Linked DNA regions of Mus musculus. The protein of the gene in region 2 purifies or fractionates together with the protein of the main gene of each other region. This does not show direct contact. Links are inferred from orthologs where the notes say so. Each region holds a gene or a part of one and is shown on either strand. Other genes may lie near its edges.

Evidence for each region.
Region 1: the proteins of Cdc37 (region 2) and Akt1 purify together in Homo sapiens (affinity purification with western blotting; 5 studies listed by BioGRID and IntAct, with this or other methods). This does not show direct contact. The link is inferred for Mus musculus from reciprocal best matches to the Homo sapiens genes CDC37 and AKT1.
Region 3: the proteins of Cdc37 (region 2) and Hck purify together in Homo sapiens (affinity purification with mass spectrometry; 3 studies listed by BioGRID and IntAct, with this or other methods). This does not show direct contact. The link is inferred for Mus musculus from reciprocal best matches to the Homo sapiens genes CDC37 and HCK.
Region 4: the proteins of Cdc37 (region 2) and Rps6ka4 purify together in Homo sapiens (affinity purification with mass spectrometry; 3 studies listed by BioGRID and IntAct, with this or other methods). This does not show direct contact. The link is inferred for Mus musculus from reciprocal best matches to the Homo sapiens genes CDC37 and RPS6KA4.
Region 5: the proteins of Cdc37 (region 2) and Chuk purify together in Homo sapiens (affinity purification with mass spectrometry; 7 studies listed by BioGRID and IntAct, with this or other methods). This does not show direct contact. The link is inferred for Mus musculus from reciprocal best matches to the Homo sapiens genes CDC37 and CHUK.
Region 6: the proteins of Cdc37 (region 2) and Ikbkg purify together in Homo sapiens (affinity purification with mass spectrometry; 7 studies listed by BioGRID and IntAct, with this or other methods). This does not show direct contact. The link is inferred for Mus musculus from reciprocal best matches to the Homo sapiens genes CDC37 and IKBKG.
Region 7: the proteins of Cdc37 (region 2) and Ikbkb purify together in Homo sapiens (affinity purification with mass spectrometry; 8 studies listed by BioGRID and IntAct, with this or other methods). This does not show direct contact. The link is inferred for Mus musculus from reciprocal best matches to the Homo sapiens genes CDC37 and IKBKB.

What each region holds. Positions count from the first base shown.
Region 1 is NC_000078.6:112,657,277-112,660,776, reverse strand, and holds part of Akt1 (RAC-alpha serine/threonine-protein kinase), read left to right. Parts: intron 1-1,115; coding exon 1,116-1,227; intron 1,228-1,425; exon of another isoform or gene 1,426-1,500; coding exon 1,501-1,648; intron 1,649-2,099; coding exon 2,100-2,231; intron 2,232-2,313; coding exon 2,314-2,379; intron 2,380-3,041; coding exon 3,042-3,110; intron 3,111-3,383; coding exon 3,384-3,500. UniProt on the Homo sapiens protein: AKT1 is one of 3 closely related serine/threonine-protein kinases (AKT1, AKT2 and AKT3) called the AKT kinase, and which regulate many processes including metabolism, proliferation, cell survival, growth and angiogenesis.
Region 2 is NC_000075.6:21,139,935-21,143,434, forward strand, and holds part of Cdc37 (hsp90 co-chaperone Cdc37), read right to left. Parts: intron 3,292-3,500; coding exon 3,013-3,291; intron 2,744-3,012; coding exon 2,488-2,743; intron 2,395-2,487; coding exon 2,279-2,394; intron 2,200-2,278; coding exon 2,077-2,199; intron 1,202-2,076; coding exon 1,019-1,201; intron 896-1,018; coding exon 824-895; intron 30-823; coding exon 1-29. UniProt on the Homo sapiens protein: Co-chaperone that binds to numerous kinases and promotes their interaction with the Hsp90 complex, resulting in stabilization and promotion of their activity. Inhibits HSP90AA1 ATPase activity.
Region 3 is NC_000068.7:153,135,968-153,139,467, reverse strand, and holds part of Hck (tyrosine-protein kinase HCK), read right to left. Parts: intron 2,771-3,500; coding exon 2,591-2,770; intron 1,207-2,590; coding exon 1,130-1,206; intron 1-1,129. UniProt on the Homo sapiens protein: Non-receptor tyrosine-protein kinase found in hematopoietic cells that transmits signals from cell surface receptors and plays an important role in the regulation of innate immune responses, including neutrophil, monocyte, macrophage and mast cell functions, phagocytosis, cell survival and proliferation, cell adhesion and migration.
Region 4 is NC_000085.6:6,834,128-6,837,627, reverse strand, and holds part of Rps6ka4 (ribosomal protein S6 kinase alpha-4), read left to right. Parts: coding exon 1-48; intron 49-150; coding exon 151-301; intron 302-2,362; coding exon 2,363-2,527; intron 2,528-3,500. UniProt on the Homo sapiens protein: Serine/threonine-protein kinase that is required for the mitogen or stress-induced phosphorylation of the transcription factors CREB1 and ATF1 and for the regulation of the transcription factor RELA, and that contributes to gene activation by histone phosphorylation and functions in the regulation of inflammatory genes.
Region 5 is NC_000085.6:44,104,678-44,108,908, reverse strand, and holds the start of Chuk (inhibitor of nuclear factor kappa-B kinase subunit alpha), read left to right. Parts: upstream 1-1,431; 5' UTR 1,432-1,516; coding exon 1,517-1,621; intron 1,622-4,231.
Region 6 is NC_000086.7:74,443,181-74,446,680, forward strand, and holds part of Ikbkg (NF-kappa-B essential modulator), read left to right. Parts: intron 1-164; coding exon 165-308; intron 309-591; coding exon 592-734; intron 735-3,500. UniProt on the Homo sapiens protein: Regulatory subunit of the IKK core complex which phosphorylates inhibitors of NF-kappa-B thus leading to the dissociation of the inhibitor/NF-kappa-B complex and ultimately the degradation of the inhibitor.
Region 7 is NC_000074.6:22,672,084-22,675,583, forward strand, and holds part of Ikbkb (inhibitor of nuclear factor kappa-B kinase subunit beta), read right to left. Parts: intron 2,988-3,500; coding exon 2,880-2,987; intron 1,410-2,879; coding exon 1,280-1,409; intron 435-1,279; coding exon 240-434; intron 1-239.

The DNA.
Region 1 (3,500 bases), on a different chromosome or scaffold from region 2:
TGGCCACCAGGTGTTCATGCTCTGGGCATCCTTGTTCTGTGTGTGCTCCCAGTGTGAGGCTTGGGTGCTGAGTACATGTGTGACTTTTCCAGAGACTCTGTATGTTGTTGGGAAAACAGCAAGATACTTCTGTACCGGAAGGGGGTGTGGGCTGGATCCCTGAGGCCCCCACATGAGGTAGGGATCAGCAGTTGAAGGACAGAGGAACTTCAGGATAGTTATGGTGTAGGGCTAACTGATCTAGCCTGACTGGTTCCTTCACCTTCAGAGCAGAGCATCTCAGCTGTGGCAGGTCTTGGGTCTCAGTTCTTTGAGAGGAACTAGGGCAAGGAGAGGGGATGGAGCAGGGTGTGGTGGCTCATGCTGTATTCCTGGCACTCAGGAGGCTGAGGCATGATTACCTCAAGTTCAAGACCAGTGTAGACTACATAGTGAGTTCTAGGTCAGTCTGAATTACATAGGAAGAAAACAGAAATGCTAGCGGTGGTGGCTAGAACCTGTAAAATCAGCACTTGAGAGGCAGAGGCAGGAGGATCGCCATAGTTTGAGACTTCCAGTCTACGTGGAGTTTTCCAGAGCTGCACAGCAAAAGACCCTATATCAAACAAACAAAAAGCTTTAAAACTTTAAAACTTTTTACATTTTATTGTTTTGTGTGTAAAGAAGGGTGTTTGTTTATTTTATGTGTGGATCTGGTGCTCTTAGAGACAGGAAGAGGGCATCAGATCTCTGGAGTTACAGATGGTTGTGAGTTGCCATATGGGTGCTAGGAATTGAACCTCTAGTCTTCTGGAAGAGCAGTTGTACTTCTAATCAATGAGCCATCCATCGCTCCAGCCCCTGAAATCAATGTGTGTGTTTGCTTGCTTTTCGAGACAGGGTTTCTCTGTGTAGCCCTGGCTGTCCTGGAACTCACTCTGTAGACCAGGCTGGCCTCAAAGTCACAGAGATCCACCTGTGCTAGGATTAAAGGTGTTCACCACCACACCTGGCAAATACACTTTTAAAGTGAGGATGAGATTCACCTTCCTGGGACAGGGTTGAGGTCTGTCTGGTGAGGACTACGAGGGGGAGTTTCACGGAGAAACAGATAGATGCTTCCCCGACTTCTTTAGAATGCCAGCTGATGAAGACAGAGCGGCCAAGGCCCAACACCTTTATCATCCGCTGCCTGCAGTGGACCACAGTCATTGAGCGCACCTTCCATGTGGAAACGCCTGAGGAGCGGTGAGTGGGCAGGGTATGGTTGCTCGAGAGCCTGAGGCCTCTGCTGAGTCCATTCTGGAGAACTAGACTGGAGCACTTGTGGGATGAGTGGGGCATAATGGGAGAAATATCAGCATCCCAGGTACCTTGATGCTCCTGATACTCTTGAGTGTATGGAGGCCCAGGATCTGAGTGGTGGCCTGCAGCTTCAGGACCAGGGAGCCAGGCAGCTGGTTGGTGGAAGCCATGCAACAGCGCCCCCAGGTGCCTGAGGCCTCACTTGACCCGCTGCAGGGAAGAATGGGCCACCGCCATTCAGACTGTGGCAGATGGACTCAAGAGGCAGGAAGAAGAGACGATGGACTTCCGATCAGGCTCACCCAGTGACAACTCAGGGGCTGAAGAGATGGAGGTGTCCCTGGCCAAGCCCAAGCACCGTGTGGTGAGTCTGGGCTCTGCTTCTGCTGGGGCTGCCAGGGGTTGTGGAGGGACCTGGTAGGTCCTGGTATTCCTGCCTGGCTTCCTGTATGGGTCTGGGTACCCCTGGCTCCTCTGGACATGGGCTGAGGACACCTCAGTTGGCAGAGTGCTTGTCCAGCGTGCATGAGACATGAGACCCCAGTACTTAAAAGTAAGTAATATGAAGATGCCCGCTGACTCCCAAGGCCCAGCGCTCTGACTAGACTGTGCAGAGCCCTTCACTGACTGCACAGGCCAGCACATGTGAGAATGGGCCTGGCTTGTGGCCAGCTCTCTTGCTGTTGGCTAACTTGGAGGAAGCTTGCTCACTCTGGACACTGTCAAGCCGAAGGCGGTGGCATATGGTTTATTACCATAGGCTAGTTGTGGTGAGCAAAGGCTCTCTCTAACCGGGCTCTGTCTACTGCCCACAGACCATGAACGAGTTTGAGTACCTGAAGCTACTGGGCAAGGGCACCTTTGGGAAGGTGATTCTGGTGAAAGAGAAGGCCACAGGCCGCTACTATGCCATGAAGATCCTCAAGAAGGAGGTCATCGTCGCCAAGGTGCAGGGAGGGCAGGCTTGGAGGGAGGCTGAGAGGAGTGGGATGCAGGGGAGATAGGTGCTCACTTGGTTCTGCATTCCAGGATGAGGTTGCCCACACGCTTACTGAGAACCGTGTCCTGCAGAACTCTAGGCATCCCTTCCTTACGGTAAGCAGTGGCCATCAGTCTGGCCCCTGTGGGATAGGGAAGAGTGGGCCAGAGTGGGTCACTCCCACACTGTTGCCTTTGCACCCATACACGGACGGGCAAGGGCTTCATGGGCATCAGGTAGGCTGATGGAGGGCGGGGCTGCAGTCATGCCCCAGCTGTAGTGTGCAGGAGGCAGGAGTGAGACTCGTCTTCTCACTCTGCTGAGACCTTGAGTTGCCCCAGCTCTCCATCCCTGCAGTCCTCTCAGACCCGTCTTCTAGGCTGGTCCCTCAGGGTTGATTGTTAGTGAAGCTCAGTTACAGTAGCTTGATTGAGTTCCAGAGTCAGCATCTTGGGCTTATTCCACCCGTGGTCCATGATGGAAAGGTGCCGGGGTGGCTCAGTGCACCAGTTCATAAGCTGTTGTGTCAACCTCCCCATCTGGAGGCTCTTGGGAACCCCAGAACTTGGTATAGTTAACTTCTAAGCCATCTTGCCCTGCAGTTGAACCTAGACCTCGTGTCTCTCATCTTAAAATCTACCAGTTGGCATGTGGCCTGCATCTGTAGCCCCTGCTGAGTTCTAGGCCAGCCTGGGCTACGGTGATACCCAAGATGTGCCCTGATCCATCTTGGGGTGGCAGTGTCACTGTGCTTAGGCTTGCCCTGCTTCCATTCCAGGCCCTCAAGTACTCATTCCAGACCCACGACCGCCTCTGCTTTGTCATGGAGTATGCCAACGGGGGCGAGGTAGGGCCACAGGCAGCTTCAGACCTGGGCACTTGATGGGTGAACTTGTCCCTCTGAGAGCTTTGAACCCTCTCTGTAGTACAGATCACTGGTGCTGCCAGCCCTGGCCATGTGAGCCTGTAGCTGCTCGTTTGGGGATGTCTTATTTCTGCTGAGTTGGAGTCTCGCAGTCTCCAGTTCTCTTTGGGGGCTAGTTCCTAACCTTCCCTCTGCCTGTGGGTAAGGGTTGGCGGGCCCTCACACAGGCCTTCCTCAGCGCGCTCCACCCCACAGCTCTTCTTCCACCTGTCTCGAGAGCGTGTGTTCTCCGAGGACCGGGCCCGCTTCTATGGTGCGGAGATTGTGTCTGCCCTGGACTACTTGCACTCCGAGAAGAACGTGGTGTACCGG
Region 2 (3,500 bases):
ATGCAACGCTGCATGTGATACTTGGCATCCTGTGGAGAGAGGGAGGACAGCAGATGAGGCCATGCCAGCAGCATGATGCCCAGTGTCCCCTGCACCTCCTTCAAGGCTGCTCAGCACCCACTCCACCCAGGACTGGTAATATAGAACTGCAGAAGCTAGCATGTGACTCAGCGGGTGCAGCAATTGCCCAGTGTTCTGAGACTCTACCATTCCAGCACCACAGACAAGCAGATATGGTGGTACACACTTGTGATCCCACCAATTAGGAAGTGGCAGCAGGAGGGTCAGGAGCAAAGGTCATCAGTTATGTAGCACATTTGAGGTCAGCTTGGGCTACATGAGACCCTGTCTCAAAAAACAAACACACAGACAAAAGGGAGTGGTGACAGCTATGCTCAGCAGTTAAGAGTACTTTCCTCCAAATCATGAGGACCAGAGATTACAATCCAGCACTTAAGTAACCAGCGAGGTAACCTGAGCACGCAGGGGACAGAGCAGCTCTATCTGTGAGTCTGGAGCTAGCCTGGGAACAGAGGCAGGTCTATCTGTGTGAGTCTGAAGCTAGCCTGGTCTACACAGTGAGATCCTATCTCAGAGAAAAAAGGTGGTGGTGGTGGGGCAAGGAATTAAAAGATTTTTTTAAAGTATACTGGTATTGTACTGCGTGCGTGTGTGCAGAAGGGTGTCGTTCTCAGACAGGGTCTCACTGAATTGCTCTGGCTCATCTTAACTAAGCCTGGCCTTGGACTCACAACCCTGCTCTTGGATGACAGGGTTGCACCCCCTGGCCATCTGCCATCTGCCACAGGGACTAGGGACTCACAGTGGGATCCATTTTGCTGATGGCGTCTTGCAGCATCTGTACATCCTTCACATCAAAGCACTTCTGCAGCTCCTGAGTACAGAGGGGCCAGGGTGAGGGCCTGGGCTTGGGATGGGTGGGAGCAGAGGGGCGGGGGCAGGGAGCAGCAATGGGTATACATCACCCTCCTCCCTCCTGGGCCCTGGGGAGTCACACCTCAGGCAGGGATTCGTAGACCTCCACGGGGTCCAGGCCACCAGGGCCTAGCCTCTTCTTGCGCTCCTCCTCTTCATATTCCTTCATGGCCTTCTCTATTCGCAGCTTGGCGCGGCCCCGCACTCGCTCCTTAAAGGCTTCCAGTTCATACTTGAAGCCCTCCATGTACTGGTGGTCAGCGGTCTGTGGAAGAGGGTGGGTACTGCTCACTGCAATTCATAACCAGATGTTTAGGGAGGTGAAGGCTCCCTGAAGCTTTTCCTGAACTCCACCATGGCTACCTCAAGATTTGGCCTTTGTCTCCTGCATTCAGCGCCCATCCTACTAGCTTGTGAGACCACCTGCTAATGGCCAGCCGCCTGGCTCGGCTCAACAGCACCAGCTTGGTATCACATCTTCAGGTGTCCTCCAGCAAGGTCTTACAGAAACCTCAGTTCTGGATTGTTCTACCCTGCCCTGCTCTCAGGTTCCCCAGTCTTTCAGAGGAACCAAGTTTGGTACCCATTACCCACATGACAGCTTGCAAACCCTAGCAACTCCACCTCCAGGGACCCAACGCCCTCTTCTAGCCTCTGAAGACACTTGCATGCGAATGATGCACATAAACTCACTCAGGCACACACACAGCAACAAAAAAAATTAATATTTACTTATATAATGTTTATGCAATATATTTACATTACATATAAATTATTTAATATTTAAAGTAAATGAATAGAAAGAAATCCTCAAATAGGGTCAGCTAGGTGTTCAGTAGGTGAAAGTGCTTTGCCATGTAAGCCTAACAGCTTGTTTTACCACAGGGACCCACAGAAAGGTGGAGAACCAACCACACAAAGTTATCTCTTAATCATATGGGTCCACATCCACATCCACACACGTTTCATATACATACATACATATATATATGTATGTATGTATGTATGTATGTATGTATACACACACACACAAGTATACATATGTACGGCCATCCCCGTGGCACCTCAAGCCCCTCTAATAAATATCTGACATCGCGCACTGCACTGTGGATTTCCTGGTGGTACACAGGAGCTCATTACCTTGATCTTGGTGAAAAACTGCCGGAAGCAGGCTCGGGGGTCGACCTTCAGACTCTTGGCCAGCTCCAGAATAAACTGCATCACCATGGTCTGGTGAGCTACCTGCTCCATCAGTGCACATTTCTGCCAGGACAAAGAGGTGGGCGGGGCGTGAGCAGGCGCAGTGTCTGGGAGTCCCCGCAGCTGGGAAGGGCACACTTACCTCCTCTACCTCCAGGTCAATGCACCAGATAACCAGGTAGTTGGCCGTTTCCTCACACACCAGGTGGACGTTGTCCGACAGGTATTTCTGGCTGTCATCCCAGCGGTGGAGCATGCCTGCAGGAGAGGATGTTAGGAAGATGTCGCAGAGGCCATTGGAAGCCTTTTGCTGGCCTTGACTCCTAACCTAGCCTTTGTGCAGGAACTTACCGAAATGCTTGATCTGTTTCTCATATTTTTCAACGAAGGTCTTGTGTTTCTGCTCCCTTGCCTCCTCTGAGTCCTCCTCTGCCTTCTCAGGCTTGGTATTGACCATGCTCTGTGACAGGGTGAGAGGGCAAGTGGGCTGGGGCAAGGCAGGGGTGCGCCTGGGGTTTGGGGGCCGTGGCCGCCGCGCCCATCCTGTCCACATCGGAGGCGGTGGCGTCGCTAAGTGCATCAAGGTGGCGGAGGCATGGCCGCGGGCCTTCGGGCAGATCAGAGGGTATGGATGGGCTTCGTTGGCCTCCACTAGCCAATCCCAAGCTCAAACTGTCTGTCTGTCTGTCCCTCCCCTGTCCTCGCACCCCACCCGGTGGCTTTGCCTGGCTCTCATTGTCAGAATTCTTTTTCTAGTTTACTGGGATGGGGACACAGGGGTGGACCTGGGGTCTTTACAGGCATGTCTAGCCTCCACCACCGAACCACCCCCAGCTAGCCTGACCGCACTCCATAGCACTCTTGCCAGTGTCCCACCTTGCTAAAGCCATCTTTGCTGAGCGTGTCCACATTCCAGGGCATGTTCTTCTCCTTTTTGCGCATGTCTTCCAGCTTCTGCTCCCAGCTCCGCTCCTCCTTGCGCAGTTGCTGTGCCTCAGCTCTCAGCCGCTCAAGCTCCACCTGGCCATCGCTCTCAGCCACTTCCAGCTCCTTCAGCTTGCGCTGGCACTCGGCTACCTTGCGCTTGCACTCCCGGCAGCCCCGGTCCAGTTCCTCTTTCTCCTTCTGAAACTGCTCCATGCGTTCCACCCGGGCCTGCAGGCAGGGACAATCAGCAGCCAGTCATAGAAAGAACTCCTACCCTGCTACCACAGGGGACCAGACAGGCCTGGGTCAGGGACGCACCCTGGGCCCTGACTACAGAGCACACAGCCACGTGCTACCCATCCGCTGGTGCCCTGCTGCCACATGTCTATGTTTTTTTTGAAGACTAGGTTTAACTAATGAAACCGTCTCTATGTAAC
Region 3 (3,500 bases), on a different chromosome or scaffold from region 2:
ACGACGGAATGACAATTACCTTCCTACATTTGCCTGCCAGGACTCTGGGCTTGGCTGCTGTGACTGACTTTGGCCAATAGGGCATTGATAAGTCAGTGCAAACAGAGGCTTACCCACTGCTTGCACCTTGGACAGGTCCCACTTGGAGCTCTGATACTGGGCTGTGAAGAAATACTGAGTGCTGAGAGGCTACACAGGGAGAAGTTGTAAGAATGAACGTCACCTTGGACATGCTCCTCACGCCACCTCAGTGCATAGAGTGCTCCATCTAGCCTGCTATAGTCAGTCCAGAGAATCATGGGAAATATTCAGTGTTATCATTTCAGGCTACTAAGCCTTTATCTGTTACATAAGAATGGATGACTTACATGGATGGTGACGTAGCTCAAATGTAGTCCTTCTTTGGCATGTACAAGGCCCCAGGTTCCATTCCTCACACCAAAAATCAACAAACAAAATTATTCCAGAATCTGGAGAGATGGCTCAGTGGTTAAGAGCACTGGCTGCTCTTCCAGAGGTCCTGGATTCAGTCCTAGCACCCACATGGTGGCTCACAAGCACCTATAACTATAGCTCTAGAGAATCTGGCACCCTCCTCTGACATCTGAGGGCAGCAGACATTCATGTAGTACAGACTCATAGACAGGCAAAAGACCCATATAATAAAATAATTAACCTGTTATGAAAAATTCCGTAGTTTTGATGTCAGCACTGTATGAGTTGGTTCATATGAAGAACAGTCTGTATCCATGGGTTCTGCATCTGCACGCAACCAACCGCACAGCAAGAATATTCTAAATCAAATGCTGTCTATAGACTTTAAGTGGTCATTATCTCTTATACAATACGAAATAATAACTGTTTACATAGCATTTGTGTTAGATTCCATAGGCCAGCTAGAGATGCTTTAAGTAGCATGCAGGGGAATGTGCCTAGGGAAAATAGTATATTTACAGTAAATATACTATTTTCTATAAGGGACTTTAGCATACAGAAGTCTTTGAGTACTTGGAGTACTGTGACTAGTCCTTGTGTGTGGGGAGCATGAGTATTCACATGAAAGACACAGAGAACACAAATGACGTCACCTTTCCTGTCACCTCTCCTGACTATCGCTGGCACAACTCACCTGGGCTGAGAAGTCAATGAGTTTTGGCAGTGGCTGCTTGCTGCCTTCTTCACTCTTGAGAAAGTCCAGCAGGCTTCCTGCAGAGGGGAGTGAGAAGGAACATGGACTACTGCTCCTTAGTGAGAAATAAGTAACAGTTTTTCATAGCAATAGAGATCTTTCCTCTTTGCAGTACAGGGACTGAACCCAGAGCCTCACACATGCTAGGCAAGCACTGAGTTACATCTCCAGCTAACCACCTCCTCCTCCTCCTTTCTCTTGTTCGTTTTTTGAGACAAAGCTTCTCTGTGTCATTCTGGCTGTCCTGAAAGTAGATTTGTAGACCAGCCTGGCCAGCCTTGAACTCACAAAGAGATCTGCCTGCCTCTGCCTCTCAAGTTCTGTGATTAAAGGCAAGCCAGGTATGACTTTCTTCTTGAGATAGTGCCTTGTTATATTGTTCAGACTGGTCTCCGATTCCCAGGCTCCAGCTATTTTTCCACTTTAGCTAGTAGATTAGTCTTGACTCCCAGCATTTATCCCCGCCCAGCTGCAGTGCTAGTTAAAGACACATCTACTTACTGCTTCTAGTGTCTGAGTGCTAGAGCTTGAATTTTTCTGAAAGGACTTTTTAGTTGCTTACTAACTCTTTGGTTGATGCGGCCCCATGGACCTGGGTGTCCAGGGCTTTGCTTTAGAAAGCTGGGTGGTTGTAGATTTGTAAAGTAGACTTGAAAAGTAGAAAAAGCTTTGAGTTTTCAAGTCACATTGGATGTTGTTGTATGAGATGTTTATCCAGAAATGACCAGGGACTGAAAATGACTATAAACCAGCTGTTCTAAAACTAACTAACTAACTAACTAACTAACTCTGAGAAGCCGGGTGTGGAGACACACATCTGTAATCCCAGCACTTGAGAGGCTGAGGCAGGACAGCTACGAGATTGAGGCTAGCCTGGGCTACATAATGAGTGCCAGGACAACCTGGGCTACAGAGTGGAATCCTTTCTCAAACATTCTTGAAATATGCTGAATAATCCCAGGATACAGTGGCCCAAAGCTAAGTAGCCTGAAGTGACAACACGGACATTGTCATGATTCTGTGGGTTGGTCATAGCAGGACCAACCACACTGTGAAGTGAGGTGACACAGGTGGAACATTCAAGATGAAGTGGCACCTTTATGGTCTTTCTCCATGTGGCTTCTTGTCCCTTAGAACTTGGAGCAAGACTTCTTTACAGCCCAGCACTGAGGTTCCCAGGTACGAGTCACAAGGAAGCCATGTGATTCCTCTGTCGCCCAGAGGCTCTGCAGCCCCTGCCCCTCCTCTCCACCGAGCTCCCTTCACAGGATTGCACTCTGCCAGCCAGGAGGCTGGAGTGTAGATGCTCTATGAGGTGGCTGTGCCAGAAGAGCCACGCCAAGGCCATCTTGGAGACTGAAAGGAGTCAGCTTGGCCCACACTCTATCCCTGCCCACGCACCTTTGGCCATGAACTCCGTGACAATAAAGATGGGCTCCTGAGAGACCACAGCGTGTAGCTTCACCAGTTTGTCATGCTGCAGCGACTTCATCAGGTTGGCCTCAGCCAGGAAGGCCTCCACGGACATGCTCCCTGGCTTCATTGTCTTCACCGCCACTTTGGTGTGCTTGTTGTAGGTGGCTGGGGAAAGCATGGAGCACGGAGGGTGGTTAGGACCCAGCAGCCCTGGAGGAGCCCTCCCTGCCCATCTTAAGCCTTTAAGACAGAGAGAGAGGCCTGGACACCGGTTCCCTGCCTAGCTGAGTACAACTGAAATACCTACCTTCTCTGGGCTGTCTTCCTCACCCACTAAGTGGAAGGGATAAACTCTCACTGAAGGGCTATTTGCAAGACTTATAAAATCCTCCAGTCTGGGCTTGGGGCACATGCCTGTCATTCTAGACACTTGTCACTCTCAAGACAGTGAAGTAGGAGGACTGGAGGCTCCGGGCCAGCCCATGACTCAGAAGACAAGAGTTGAGACTGGTGCTCAATGGCACAGAACTTGCTTAACGCATACAGGATACTGAGTTTAATCCCTGGGTAGTAACCCTTAAGCCACCAGTTAGACTGCAACATGAGCCTGCATAGCATGTAAGCTTAACGCTGCCTTGAAACAATTACCAGATTCATTATGCCCCATAGGCTCTGCTTGGCCTGATCACACCTACTTTTCTGTCCTTGTCATCCACCAAGGTCACCTCCAACACATGCTCAAACTAGAGACTGAACCAGGGTCTCATACTAGGAAAATGCTCTACCACTGAGCTATATCCCAGCCCCCTTCTCACGTTTTATTTTGAAGCAGGGTCTTACTAAGTTGTTCAGGTTGGCCTTGAACTTGAGTCCTCCTGTCCCAATATATAGCTGG
Region 4 (3,500 bases), on a different chromosome or scaffold from region 2:
ACCCTTCACACTGGAGGGAGAGAGGAACACTCAGGCTGAGGTGTCCCGGTGAGTTGTACAGGTCATGGAGGGTAGCTGAGGGCTATACGGCCTTCCTGGGCTGGGCTGGGAGGGGGCTTGCTGCCCCTGACACCCCACCCATCCTCCCAGACGGATCTTGAAGTGCTCCCCTCCCTTCCCTCTCCGGATTGGGCCTGTGGCACAGGACCTGCTACAGCGGCTGCTGTGCAAGGACCCTAAGAAGAGGTTGGGCGCAGGTCCCCAGGGTGCGCAGGAAGTCAAGAGTCACCCCTTCTTCCAGGTGAGGCTTTAATGTATGACCTCATAGGTCCTTCACCTCTGAAGGCCGGGCTGCAGCATGGGGAGCACAAATGTATTCCATCTTTTCCGATGTTACACACAATAAGAGGTCAAAGGGCAGAATGTGCAGACCCCACTGTCCTCAGGGCACTCACTGGGCAGCTCCCTGGGAATGCGTGAACTAGCACGGAGCCTTCACATGTGATCTCACTGAGTGGCCTTTCCTAGCTGTTGTCTTCTGTTTATATACAGTCATCAGATTTGGCATCTATCTGACATGCAGCAAGAGCATCCATCCATTTGTGGGTATCCCCTGTGGCCAGGCACAGGTCCCTCCTGCCTCCATGCTGGGATCCTAGCCTTGGAGGGTCTCCAGGGGTGCTCTCAGAGCAGAGTCTTCCTCTCCCGGGCCAGCATGGCCCCAGGTAGAGGCATGGGCAAGACTAGAACACAGAATGGAGCTGACCAGGGTCCACTTCCTTCAGTGAATTTCTGGAACACCCCCCTCCCCCATCTCAGACTGCTGGGAGAGTGCTCACCTGTCTATCATCCTGCAGAAGTCCCCAAGGTCTTTGAGGCTTGGCACTTGACATGGTGTCCTCTCCCTTCTGCCCTTTCTTTGGACAAAGATCTTTGGAGGCTACTGCACATACACACTTACCCGACATCGCACACATACAAACACACATGCATATATATGTGCACATACAATGGGGTAGTGGTGAGGAGAAGAAATCCAGACCAGGTTGTCTTTGAGAATCCAAGCTCATTCATTCATTCATTCATTCTGTCTGTCTGTCTGTCTGTCTGTCTCTCTGTTCTTCCATATTTAGATATGGCATCCATTTTTAGGGTTGCTTTGTGACTCCAAAGGGATGACTATGTAGCCTGCTTTCCAGGACGGAAGTGGGAGGAGGAAGGGCAGGGTTTGCAAGCTTCTCACCTTCCCTTCAAGGTGCTTTCCTAGGCTCCACCTGACAGTATTTCCTTGCAAGCTATTGGGCACAACCAGCTACAAAGAAGTGTCTGTAAGATGGTGCATCTTGGTTGTATTGGAATTATGATGCTAAAAAGACAGGAAAGCGGATGCTGGCAGAAGCTTAGTTAGTTCTGCCACCTTAGCTTAAACATATCAAAGAGCAGGTGCTCATTCCCAAAAGGGAGGACAACTTGTAGGGATGGGTTTTCTCCTTCCACTGTGTGACTGTGAGGCTTGGGGGTGAGTGCCCCCTTCCAGGGCGCTGTCTCACCTGCGTGTTTAGTCTCCTTGTCGTTAGGAGAATTCATTCTCCAGCCCAAGTGCCACATGGTAATTATACATAGGTTGCAGAATGGCGAAGGAAGCTTTAGAGAGGCTTCCCTGCTGAGGCTGTCCTGAAGTCTGAGCAGTTCAGGGCCAGGCTGAAGTGGGCTGAACGTCCCTGAAGAAGAAGCTATGGGGGCGCTTGGGTGACAGTCCTCTGCTGTGGCAATTTGCCTGGATGAGGTTGTCACCTGTGACCCAGTGACTAGTTAGCAGGGCAGCCACAGTTTGATCATAGGATCCTTCTTTTCACAGTCCCAGGGGAAGGACTTCCTTTAGATGTGATATGCTCAGTGTCTGATCTTTCTGACACCCACCAGGGTCTCAAACTCCCTATGTGTTTCTGACTCTCCTGACTCCACCCTCCCCAGTTTTAGGATGATAGGCATGCTCAGTTCATGCATTCTGAGGATCAGACCAGGATTCTGTGTGCATCTAGGGAGGCACACTCCCGCCTGAGCTTCGCCCTCCCTCAGGGCTTGCTACATTTCCAGGTGTCCTTATTTATTAGATACAAATGTTTATCAGCTTGTGCCTCTGGCTGTGCTGGCAGGTGGCAGTTGTTTGCTTGTATAAAGGAGATGTAACGGTCATTCTTTCTCAGCAGTTAGATTCAAAATGGAGTAGCACACGCCAAGGCTGTGTCATTATATTATAAAGTAGTCATTCAAGGTTAGGCACAGGCTGAAAGGTTCCGTTCCATACCACAGAGAAAGCAGAGTGGATCACCTTGTTCTCACCCTTAACCTCTGTTCCCAGGGTCTGGACTGGGTGGCTCTGGCTGCCAGAAAGATCCCAGCCCCATTCCGGCCCCAGATCCGCTCAGAGCTGGATGTGGGGAATTTTGCGGAGGAATTCACCCGGCTGGAGCCCGTCTACTCCCCTGCAGGCAGCCCTCCACCTGGGGACCCTCGGATCTTTCAGGTGAGTGGGAACCCACATGACCCCAGATGGCATAGATGCAGGACACTGTTACTTGCTTCAGTCCTGCTGGCAAGGTCACTCACTGCACAGACCCTGGGTTACTCTGAGGACACATCTCCCCAGACTGTTCCACTTCCCAGGGGTGCCTGATGTTATCAGTTATAGAAGTCACCATAGCTGTTTTTTATGGCTTTGTATTTCATACTAACATCTGCTCACTCTTTTCAAACTTTTATTCATTTATAATTGACTTACTCACTATGTACATAGGGATTTTGTCTGCTTGTATGTTTATGTACCATGAGTATGCCTGGTATTCAAGGAGGTCAGAAGAGGGTGTCAGATCCCTAGGGACTGCATTGCAGACAGTTGTGAGCTACCATGTTGGTACTGGGAACCAAACCCAGGTCCTCTGGAAGAGCAGAGCTCTTAACTGCTGAGCCATCTTTCCAGCCCCTGTTTCCCTTTATATACTAGGGATGAAACATCGGGCCTTGCTCTGCCACTGAGCCATGCCACTATCTCCTTTTTCATTTTGAGATATGGTCTTGATGAGTTGCCTAGGCTGGCCTTGAACTTGCTACCTTACTGCTTAGTCTCCTAAGTAGCTGAAGTCCAGGTCAGTGCCTCCAGGCCTGGATTTTCATTTCCTTTCCATTCCACCATTTCTGCGTTATCTAAAAATATTACTTTAGGGTCTAGAGAGATTGCTTAACAGTTAAGAGCACTGGCTGTGGGCTGGTGAGATGGCTCAGCGGGTAAGAGCACTGACTGTTCTTCCAAAGGTCCTGAGTTCAAATCCTAGCAACCATATGGTGGCTCACAACCACCAGTAATGAGATCTGACACCCTCTTCAGGTGTGTCTGAAGTCAGCTACAGTGTACTGTGTATAATAATAAATAAATCTAAAAAAAAAAAAAAGCACTGGCTGCTCTTGCAGGTGACAGGAGTTCAATTCCCAGCACCCACAAC
Region 5 (4,231 bases), on a different chromosome or scaffold from region 2:
TTTCACTTTGTTCTCATAAAAATCTCCTGACCTCCATTTTGTTTCTGAACAACAAAAAAACTAAAACAGTCTTGGAAACCTGAAGATTGTGGAGCCTGACAGGAACCATTTTACAGTTAAAAAAATTAAAAGGCCAGGTCTTTAATCTTAGCATTCTGCAGGCAGACCAGTGAGTTTTAAGGCCAGCCTGGTCTACATAATGAGTTCCAAGTCAAACAGGGCTATAGCAATAAACCTTGAGTTGCATTTTAATTATAGAATATTTAAAAAGCAAACTCACTGTAGAAACCAGTTTGAGTAATTTAGACAGAATTATCTTGGCTGGAGTTTTCAGCATCCCTCGAGTACAAATTATGAAACTGCATCCCACCTGTCACTCCTGGCTCTACCATACACAGCAAATGAGGTTTCATCCTGTTACATGACCGTCTCCTCTGCTCTAAAGATGCTCTCTCAGAGCCTCATTTCTATTACCTTCAAGTTTAATATTCCAATTCCATGAAAGATATGAAAATAATAGAAACCAGTTTATCGAATACCACTCACTATTAGTGACCCACAACATCGAATTGCATGCTGACGTTGAGAATTTGATTTTATGCTGACTCTTACACTTTTGAGTTATTAGCATCGCTAGCTTCAGCCCGGTACAAGCTTGTAATCCCAGTCTTGGAAAGACGGAGAAATACGTTCTAGTCCAGGCTGGACTGTATTGAGATCCTGTCTCAGAACAGGACACCTAGAGTCCATGAAGTGGATAACCCACTCAAATGGCTAGGTGGGTTGGCTTTCCCTGTGCAGCCCACCACTCAGAAGTATGCCTCTCTGGACCGAGAGCTCCTCCAGGCTTGTCTTTATAGCCCTGTGGTGCACCTCAGAAACAATTCCAACTCAAGTCGGAGAGAACAAGGCTGATAAACAGTAAGGTCGGTAGGGAGACTCACGAAGTCGCGAAGAAGAGTTTTCACTCTGGAATAAGTCACATCCTTGGTTGGTTTGGGATTATGGAGAGATTCTGATTTACAAGGCTAATGAATCAACAGGGCGGTTAGCGCAGTTTTCTTTAATACTTATGGTGGCCTTAACCGGTGCCGACCGGCGAGTGTGGTAGGATTCGAGGGGCAGAGGGCAGGGCTCTCAAAAAGATGAAATGTGAATGAGGTAGGGACAATGTGGATTTTAGAGTTTGGAGAGAGATCTATTTTAAATAAAAACACGTTGTATGAAACCTTCAAAGAACTAATTAAAAAATATCTATACAAACAAAAATAAAATAAATAGGAACCGCACGCACGATGGTCCTCGCAGGTTGGAAGTTGCCCAGGGCAAGCCGCTGGTGCCCAGTTTCCGGCAGCACCAATCCCAGGGTGATTCCAGGAGCTCGGGGCGGGACTCTGCATGCGGAAGCTAGCGGAAGTGACGCAGTCTCGCGAGACGGAGGACTCCGCAAGCCTCGGCGGCCCGGAACCGGCCTTAGACCGGCGGCGTTGCCTGAGGCGGCTGGCGCTCCCGCCCCATGGAGCGGCCCCCGGGGCTGCGGCCGGGCGCGGGCGGCCCCTGGGAGATGCGGGAACGGCTTGGCACCGGCGGTTTCGGGAACGTCAGTCTGTACCAGCACCGGGTGAGGCGGGGGGCGGGAGCCGTGGCGCGGGCTCTGTCTGGGCGTCCCTGGGACCCGAGCTGTCAGTCAAGGTGGGAGGAGTGGTGGTCGCGACCCTGGACGGGGCTGGGGGCTGGGGCAGTGAGCGAGGGCGAGCGATGGAGCATCCTGCGCTTGTGAGCCTGGGTGGCCGCGGTCCAGGTGTGTCGGAGGTCCCCGGGCAGTGAGTGACAGGCAGCTGTTGCAGCTGTGTGTGGTGATGAGGAGTCTGTACAAAGTCGAGTGCCGATGCGTGTTGTGTGTTTTGTGTATGTGTGTTGTGTGTGTCTCCGTGTGCCTGCTCACACTCCCTCGGGAGCGAGCGGTGTGATCCACTGGAGACTGGACTAGACGAGAAACCTTACGGGTGTGTCCAGAGTTGACCCTTGGGAAACATTGACAGACTTTGGAATTGGAGCGTTTCAGGTAAAAACCAGGGTGAGGGTAAGATGATGAAATCGATCCTTGCTTCGGAGGAAAGAAAATAGAGGGGTTTGTTCTGCAGAAGACAGCTAAGATCAGGCTCAGGAAATTTGTTTTGATTTATCGAAGAACATGTAACCGTTACAACAGCAGTTATTCCTGTCCTTAAAAGGTTTTCAAACTAACAGTCACTTTTCTTACTTTAACGTGTTGTTGTTAATGTTCGGGGTGGAACACAGGACCTTGCACATGCTAGGCAAATGGTCTACCGTTGGGTTACAGCCTCAGCCCTAGTTAATCATGTTTGAGTTGTGGGTCTTTTGAAAAGTCAGTAAAACGCATCTTTTCTCCGGAAAAAAAAATCATATCAATACAAGCCAGTGCATTATTAGTGAGGGTTTTGCTTTCCTGAAGGGTGTAAGGAATAGATCTTGAACACCAATCATTGTAGTATAGGATTTGTTGACTGTAAAATATTTAGAAGAATATACATACATTCTGGGCCTGCTTGAGAGTTGAGTCAGATGGTAACAGAGACGTTAGGAAGTACAAGATAGGTACTGTAATTCCGCTGATAGCTCTCCACTGTCAAGTTATGGCAACCCTCATTACTTGGACTTTTATAAAAGGAGCAGTAAGATAAAAATGGTGTTCTGGAACATCATATATGAGGAATACGTTTTAATTAGAAAAACAGTAAGCCAATTACAGGACATGAAATGATTTAGTTGATTGCTATATCAGGCGCTGATGGTACCCAAATCAACAAGAATAATATGTTCTACTCTGAAGGAGCTTTCCGTTTCAGAGAGGGGGTGGGCATGGTGGCATCCTCTTGTAATCCTAGTATCAAGGGTTCTGAGGCAGGAGGATTTGGAGTTTGAGACCTGACTGGGTGGCTTTCATATCGTGCTCAAGGCCGGTGTCAGTTACATAAGAAGGCCCTGTCTCAGAAATAAACATTAAGTACAGTTTGATACCCTAGGCACTGAAAGATGTCTTAGGGTTTTATTGCTGTGAAGAGATACCATGACCAAGGCAGCTTTTATAAAGCAAAACGTTTAGTTGGGGCTGGTTTCAGAGGTTTAGTCAGTTCTCACTTGGTGGGACATGGTGGCACGCAGGCAGACGAGGCACTGAAGAAGTAGCTGTGAATTCTATATCCTTGACCCAAAGACAGCAGGGAGAGGCTGTGTCTCACCGTGGGTGTACCTTGCGCTTAGGAGACCTTAAAGCTTGAGCCTACAGTGACACACTTCCTCCAACAGTACCTAGTGCTGCCACTCTCTATGGCCTACCATTGAATCACATGAGTCTATGGGGGTCATCACACCCAACTTAGTCTCATTTAAAAAACAACAACAGCAAAAGCCCATCTTTTTGTTGTTGTTTGGCAACTATAAAGTTCCCAAGAGAATATTCTTTTTGAAAAGATTGAGTTTCTCGGGGTAGGTGAGTGTTGTGGTAAATATTTAAAAAGACCCTCCACCTCTCCGAGTTCCATCCAGCTACTCTCTGCCCGCCAACTCTCCGGTGGGGCTGCAGCTCCTAAGTTCCCTTTGCTGCTATGCCAACCCAACACAGCAACAGTCCACTCCACTATCAGCCACCACAACATCCAGCAACCCAGTAGAAACAAAACTCTAGAAGTTTATAATTAACCAGTCAGGTTTATATATCAATAAATTCTCAATTCACAACATGCCAATACAATAATTTCAAAACCAGTTGATACTGATAAAAGCTGCCCACCTAGGCTAGACAGATTATCCCATAACTACCTGTGGCTATTTAAAACCACACGGGATCAGAATCTTCTTCCTGTCCCTCCACCTCCATTTTGGCTTTCCTCTCTTCCTGAGATACTCTCTGTTTCTGCAACTCTTAGCTCTGCCTCCCTTTACCCTGCCCAGTCACAGGCCCCTTGCTGCACTAATATTTTAATGTAATTGGACAGGGAAAATCCTGCCTCAGGTGAAATATAAACTAAGGAGTTGAAGGATCTCTTGTGATTAATGACCTATACCAAATAGATAATTTTCTGCCTCATTCATATCAGAATTTAGGGCTTATTGGCTTTGTTGTGATAACACTTTATATAGGATGTAACTATTATCAGATACCTGCCTGTTTATAACAAAAGTGAAAGGAGTGAGCCCAGTGCTAAAG
Region 6 (3,500 bases), on a different chromosome or scaffold from region 2:
GGATGCAGTATTCTCCCTGCACACATGGTCATTGGCTCCAAAATCCAAAGGACTGACTTTGTTCCAGCTTTTCCTACTTAGTCTCAAACAATGGCCAGCCAGGGAGGTAGCTTGGCCCCACTGTGGGCCAAAAGACTCTGACAGCACCCTTTGTCCTTCTCTAGGGCATGCAGCTGGAAGATCTGAGGCAACAGCTCCAGCAAGCTGAGGAGGCCCTGGTAGCCAAACAGGAATTGATTGATAAGCTGAAAGAGGAGGCTGAGCAGCACAAGATTGTGATGGAGACTGTGCCAGTCTTGAAGGCCCAGGTGAGGGCTCTGTTCCAGCCTGCCTACCACATGAATGACCTGCCCATCCAGGCAGTGGGGTTCTGTGTACCTTTTTACAGCATTTTGTAGTGGCTTCTCTATTCTTGAGCCCTTTGCATTCTTCCTTGACTTCTTGGTGCTCTTGGGATCATAGGCTTTCATATCTGTTTCTGATGTACTATTATAGGGTCCTAGGCCAGGGCTCTGTTCCTTTGGGCATGGCATAGAATGCTTGATGGGAAGCTGATGGATGGTGGGTGTTCACCTCTGTTCTATTTGCCAGGCGGATATCTACAAGGCTGACTTCCAAGCTGAGAGGCATGCCCGGGAGAAGCTGGTGGAGAAGAAGGAGTATTTGCAGGAGCAGCTGGAGCAGCTGCAGCGCGAGTTCAACAAGCTGAAAGTTGGCTGCCATGAGTCAGCCAGGTGGGCCTGTAAGAGTGCAGCCAGGAGCACAGCCATAGACAGAGAAGGTGTATACTAGGCAGCAACCAGTAGTAACTTCAGGAGATTGATGGCTCTTAGCATTGGTGTTAAGTTCTCTGTGCCTCCTACTGCTCCCTTGTGTTTGGCCTTCCAACAAAGACCTTTCCCATTGGTCCAGCTAGAAACTGAACAGAAATGCATGTATTGAGATGTATCTAAGGCCGGAGGTTTCATAGCTTTCATAGTGTTTTTTTTTTTTTCCATTTTTTATTAGGTATTTCGCTCATTTACATTTGCAATGCTATACCAAAAGTCCCCCATAGCCACCCACCCCCTCTCCCCTACCCACCCACTCCCCTTTTATGGCCCTGGCGTTCCCCTGTACTGGGGCATATAAAGTTTGCGTGTCCAATGGGCCTCTCTTTCGAGTGATGGCCGACTAGGCCATCTTTTGATGCATATGCAGCTAGAGTCAAGAGCTCCGGGGTACTGGTTAGTTCATAATGTTGTTCCACCTATAGGGTTGCAGATCCCTTTAGCTTCTTTGGTACTTTCTCTAGCTCCTTCATTGGGGGCCATGTGATCCATCCAATAGCCGACTGTGAGCATCCACTTCTATGTTTGCTAGGCCCAGGCATACTCTGACAAGAGACAGCTATATCAGGGTCCTTTCAGCATAATCTTGCTAGTGTATGCAATGGTGTCAGCATTTGGAAGCTGATTATGGGATGGATCCCTGGATATGCTAGTGTCTACATGGTCCATCCTTTTATCTCAGCTCCAAACTTTGTCTCTGTAACTCCTTCCAAGGGTGTTTTGTTCCCACTTCTAAGGAGGGGCATAGTGTTCACACTTCAGTCTTCATTTTTCTTGAGTTTCATGTGTTTAGGAAATTGTATCTTATATCTTGGGTATCTTAGGTTTTGGGCTAATATCCACTTATCAGTGAGTACATATTGTGTGAGTTCCTTTGTGAATGTGTTACCTCACTCAGGATGATGCCCTCCAGGTCCATCCATTTGGCTAGGAATTTCATAAATTCATTCTTTTTAATAGCTGAGTAGTACTCCATTGTGTAGATGTACCACATTTTCTGTATCCATTCCTCTGTTGAGGGGCATCTGGGTTCCTTCCAGCTTCTGGCTATTATAAATAAGGCTGCTATGAACATAGTGGAGCATGTGTCCTTCTTACCAGTTGGGGCATCTTCTGGATATATGCCCAGGAGAGGTATTGCTGGATCCTCCGGTAGTACTATATCCAGTTTTCTGAGGAACCGCCAGACTGATTTCCAGAGTGGTTGTACAAGCCTGCAATCCCACCAACAATGGAGGAGTGTTCCTCTTTCTCCACATCCACGCCAGCATCTGCTGTCACCTGAATTTTTGATCTTAGCCATTCTGACTGGTGTGAGGTGGAATCTCAGGTTTGTTTTGATTTGCATTTCCCTGATGATTAAGGATGTTGAGCATTTTTTCAGGTGCTTCTCTGCCATTTGGTATTCCTCAGGTGAGAATTCTTTGTTCAGTTCTGAGCCCCATTTTTTAATGGGGTTATTTGATTTTCTGAAGTCCACCTTCTTGAGTTCTTTATATATGTTGGATATTAGTCCCCTATCTGATTTAGGATAGGTAAAGATCCTTTCCCAATCTGTTGGTGGTCTTTTTGTCTTATTGACGGTGTCTTTTGCCTTGCAGAAACTTTGGAGTTTCATTAGGTCCCATTTGTCAATTCTCGATCTTACAGAGCAAGCCATTGCTGTTCTGTTCAGGAATTTTTCCCCTGTACCCATATCTTCAAGGCTTTTCCCCACTTTCTCCTCTATAAGTTTCAGTGTCTCTGGTTTTATGTGAAGTTCCTTGATCCACTTAGATTTGACCTTAGTACAAGGAGATAAGTATGGATCGATTCGCATTCTTCTACATGATAACAACCAGTTGTGCCAGCACCAATTGTTGAAAATGCTGTCTTTCTTCCACTGGATGGTTTTAGCTCCCTTGTCGAAGATCAAGTGACCATAGGTGTGTGGGTTCATTTCTGGGTCTTCAATTCTATTCCATTGGTCTACTTGTCTGTCTCTATACCAGTACCATGCAGTTTTTATCACAATTGCCCTGTAGTAAAGCTTTAGGTCAGGCATGGTGATTCCACCAGAGGTTCTTTTATCCTTGAGAAGAGTTTTTGCTATCCTAGGTTTTTTGTTATTCCAGATGAATTTGCAAATTGCTCCTTCTAATTCGTTGAAGAATTGAGTTGGAATTTTGATGGGGATTGCATTGAATCTGTAGATTGCTCATAGTGTTTTAGTTTGGTTTCTGTTGCTGTGATAGAGACCATGACTTATAGCAACTGGGGAGGAAAGGGATTATTTTAGCTTATAATTTATAATCCATGACAGAGGCAGAGCAGGCACCTGGAGGCAGAACGTGAAGTATAGTCAAAAGGGGAATGCTGCTTTCTGGCTTGTCCAGCTTGCTTGCTTGCTTATACAACCTAGGCCCACCTGCCCAGGGGTGGCACCACCTACCATAGGTTGGGCCATCCCACAGCAATTATTAATTGAAGATATGCCTTACAAACTTGCCACAGCTTCTGCTCTCCATGGTGGTTGTCCCATGTTACTGGCATCCAATATGCTAGGGTTTCCACTGCAGCTGAGGGTGCACCTTCTCCTGACCTCTGAAATAGTGCCAAGCCCTTTCTTTAGCTGCTTTCCATGATGCCTTCATATTACTTGGTCCCCTCTCCTGTGTGCTGATCCTGAGG
Region 7 (3,500 bases), on a different chromosome or scaffold from region 2:
TTTTGGCAATGGAAGCACAAGAAAATATTCGTGGTCTGGAAGTGACAAACTGAGTATGGAATGATTGGTGTCTTTTAGCGACCCACCTGGGACTCCTGACCCATCAAGCAGTTTGTACACGGTGTCACTGTATACAATTGTCATAGTGAGAGTAGTAATGTGGAATGCTGACAGTGTTCTAGGAGACCACATCTGAGGGAAACAGGGCAAGCAGGGCGCAGGAAGAAGTCAGGACTCACCTTGCTGTCTGAGATGCACTGAGTAGCAGGCTTGTCAGGGAGCAGCACCAGCCCTGCCTCTTGCAGCAGCTCCTGGTCTGTCTCCAGGATCCCCGTGTCTTCCTGGATTCTGGTTTTTAAGCTCTGCAGACTCTCATCCTCCGTCACGGGGTATGTGTGAACGGTGCCTGTGACCATGTTCAAGACATGAACCAGCTGCAACACAACCCAGATGTTACTGGGAAGAAATTTTCTTAACATTTATTTACATTGTGTGTTTGTATGCTGTAGTGGTTTGAATATGCTTGGCCCAGAGAGTGACACTATTTGGAGGTGTGGCCTTGATGGAGTAGGTGTGTCTCTGTGGGTGTGGGCTTTAACACCCTCATCCTAGCAGCCAGGAAGCCAATCTTCTCCTGTTTGCCTTTGGATGAAGATGTAGAACTCTCAGCTTCTCCTGCACCATGCCTGTCTGGACACTACCATGTTCCTGCCTTGATGATAATGAACTGAAGCTCTGAACCTGTAAGCCAGCCCCAATTAAATGTTCTTGTAAGAGTTGCCTTGGTCATGGTGTCTGTTCACAGCAGTAAACCCTGACTAAGACACTTGCATATTAGGAGGGGGGAGCACGTGCGCACACCACACCACGTGTGTGGAGATCAGACGACAGTTGGAAAGAGTTGGTTCTCTTTTCCATTAGGTAGATTGTCAGGCTTGGCCACAAGTATTTTTACCTGATGAGCTATCTCACTATCCCAAAAATCAAAATTCTTTACAAAAGGCTCATGGATTTGCCAAGACCCTTTGCTACCCCCAACCCATACTTGCTGGTAAAGGGCTAGTTTAAGTCCCATTTTTCCTCAACGGCAAGATGTCAAAACATGTCAGTCATCTCAATTTTCCTGTCCTCTTTTTAGCCCAAAGAGTCAGAGGAACCTGAATTTCTTCACAAGGCCAAGTGGCCCACGATCTGATATGTCTCCCTTCCTTGGAAAGACTGCTGTGCTCCACTGGGGACCACAGCTGCTGCCTCGGGGCTGCTTGGGCTCTGCTCTAACCTTCAAGTTCAAGATGTCATCCAGGGCTCTGAAGCAGCCGTTGGGGCCATACTGGGGATCCGTGCCCCTTTGCCGAGGGTGCCACATAAGCATCAGCTGCAGCCACTTCTCCAGCCGTTCAGCCAAGACACTAAGGGAGCAAAGGGAAGAGAGGCCTGAGCCGGCCTGCCGCAGTGTGCAAATCCCGAAGCACACACAGCCTTCCTTGGCTGATAGCTCAGCTCGAGTGAGGTGCTTGCTGTGCACACATGAGAACCTAAGTTCCATCCCAGAGTCCACATAAGAAATGCTTCTATCAGATGAGTGGATCCTTGAGGGGTCAGCCAGCTCAGCCTACTTGCTGAATTCCAGACCTGAGAGAGAGACTCTGCCTTGAAAAGGAGAAGGTGTGGAGCGACGGAAGAGAGCCAAGGTTGTCTTCCATAGCACACATACACCTGCACACACTGAAAGTGACCCTGACACTTTGATAAGGCTTGTGAGAGCTGGGTGGGGTGCTTGCCTGGTTCCGTGGTTTCCTGATCAGCACCATGTCTCTGTGTGTACATATGTGTAAACACACATATGAAGAAAATATGAAAAAATTAGGCCAAGATTTCTTTGTGTAAACGAATCACATACATTTCATTAATCTCATTAGTATGTAAGTTTAATATATGAATATTTTAACTTAATATTTGTCTTTAATAAAATTTAATATTTGCCTTTAAACAGTATGATTAAACCAAATGATTCTTTTAAAATATATGATTTATTATCAGTAGATGCTTGACTTATATACTTTATGTATCTACATATCTGGGGTATTATAAACATTTCTTGGGCACAAAGGGATCCCAGCTGCTGGCTGTCCTGGAATTCACTCTGTAGACTAGGCTGGCCTCGAACTCACAGAGATCCACCTGCCTCTGCCTCCCCAGTGCCTCCCCAAGTTCCAGGGTATCCTGGTCTACAGAGTGAATTCCAGGCCATTCAGGGCTACACAGAGAAACTTTGTCTCAAAAAATCAAATCCAAACCAAAGAAAACAAAACAAAAAAACAAAACAAAAAAGCCACCAATCAAAACCAAAGCCAGGGACTTCATCTCCACCATAGAAAAAAACCAACCAATCAACCAACTACCCAATCAACCACCCACCTAACCACCCACCCGCCCACTCATCCACCTGACCAACTACCTACCCAAGCAAGCAAGCAAGCAAGCTAGCAACCAACCAACCAATCAAACAAACAAATAAACAATTTTTAAAAAGACTCCTAGGAAGATGAGATATGGAAACCCATCCTATGTCTAATGTTGAGATAGACTGGTCCAAATTCTCAATCACAGGATGGTGTTCTGATATCTATTCAAAAGTTATGCATGGGCCTGGAGATGGCTCAGTGCTTAAGAGCTAGGGTTGGTTCCCAACACCCACACGGCAGTTCACAGTCATCTCTAACTCCAGTTCCAGAGATCTGACTATTCCTCTGGCTTCCACAGGCACCAGTCACTCAAACGTATAAAATTAAAGTAAAAAAGAGTCAGCTGTTATCTCAAACCTGTAGCTCTAAACAGAGGCGAAGAAGATCTATAAGACTGATGCCCCACGGCCTTACCTGTTAAGATTATTGGGGAAGGGTAGCGAACTTGAAAACTTCACTGCTCCATTCAAGTCTTCACTAACAACGATGTCCACTTCGCTCTTCTGCCGGACTTTGGAGTGCCTGTAGGTGTCATTTTAAGATGTCCTTTATGTCACTCAGTGGCAAGTACCCGGTTTACACGTGTAATGTCACTTCACGACTATTCTTTTGGAAAACGGTGGGCAGCATGCTGCTAGGATGCTTCTCTGAGTGTTTGTGAGTGGTCGGCACTGTGGTTAGGGGCTTAGCTCTAAGCATTGAGTTCAGCAGGAGTGTTTGTGAGTGGTCGGCACTGTGTTTAGGGGCTTAGCTCAGTGCACTGAGTCCAGCAGGAGGCCTCTCGTCCTAAGTCTCCAGGAGGCACCGTTGACCTCTGTGTGGAGGACTGAATAGAGACAACCTAAGTCTGAGTAGTGCTGCATGGGCGACCAAGTGCTCTTGGCCATGTCTCTAATTTCCTCTGCACCTCAGTTGTCAGGGACCAACTTCCATTTGAAAACAGTCATTTTCAATTGCACTTAGGTGTGTGTAGAAGGATATATGTCTCCTGTGGGCTGCCTGCCTGATGCAGGTGCTAGGAACCAAACCGAGGTC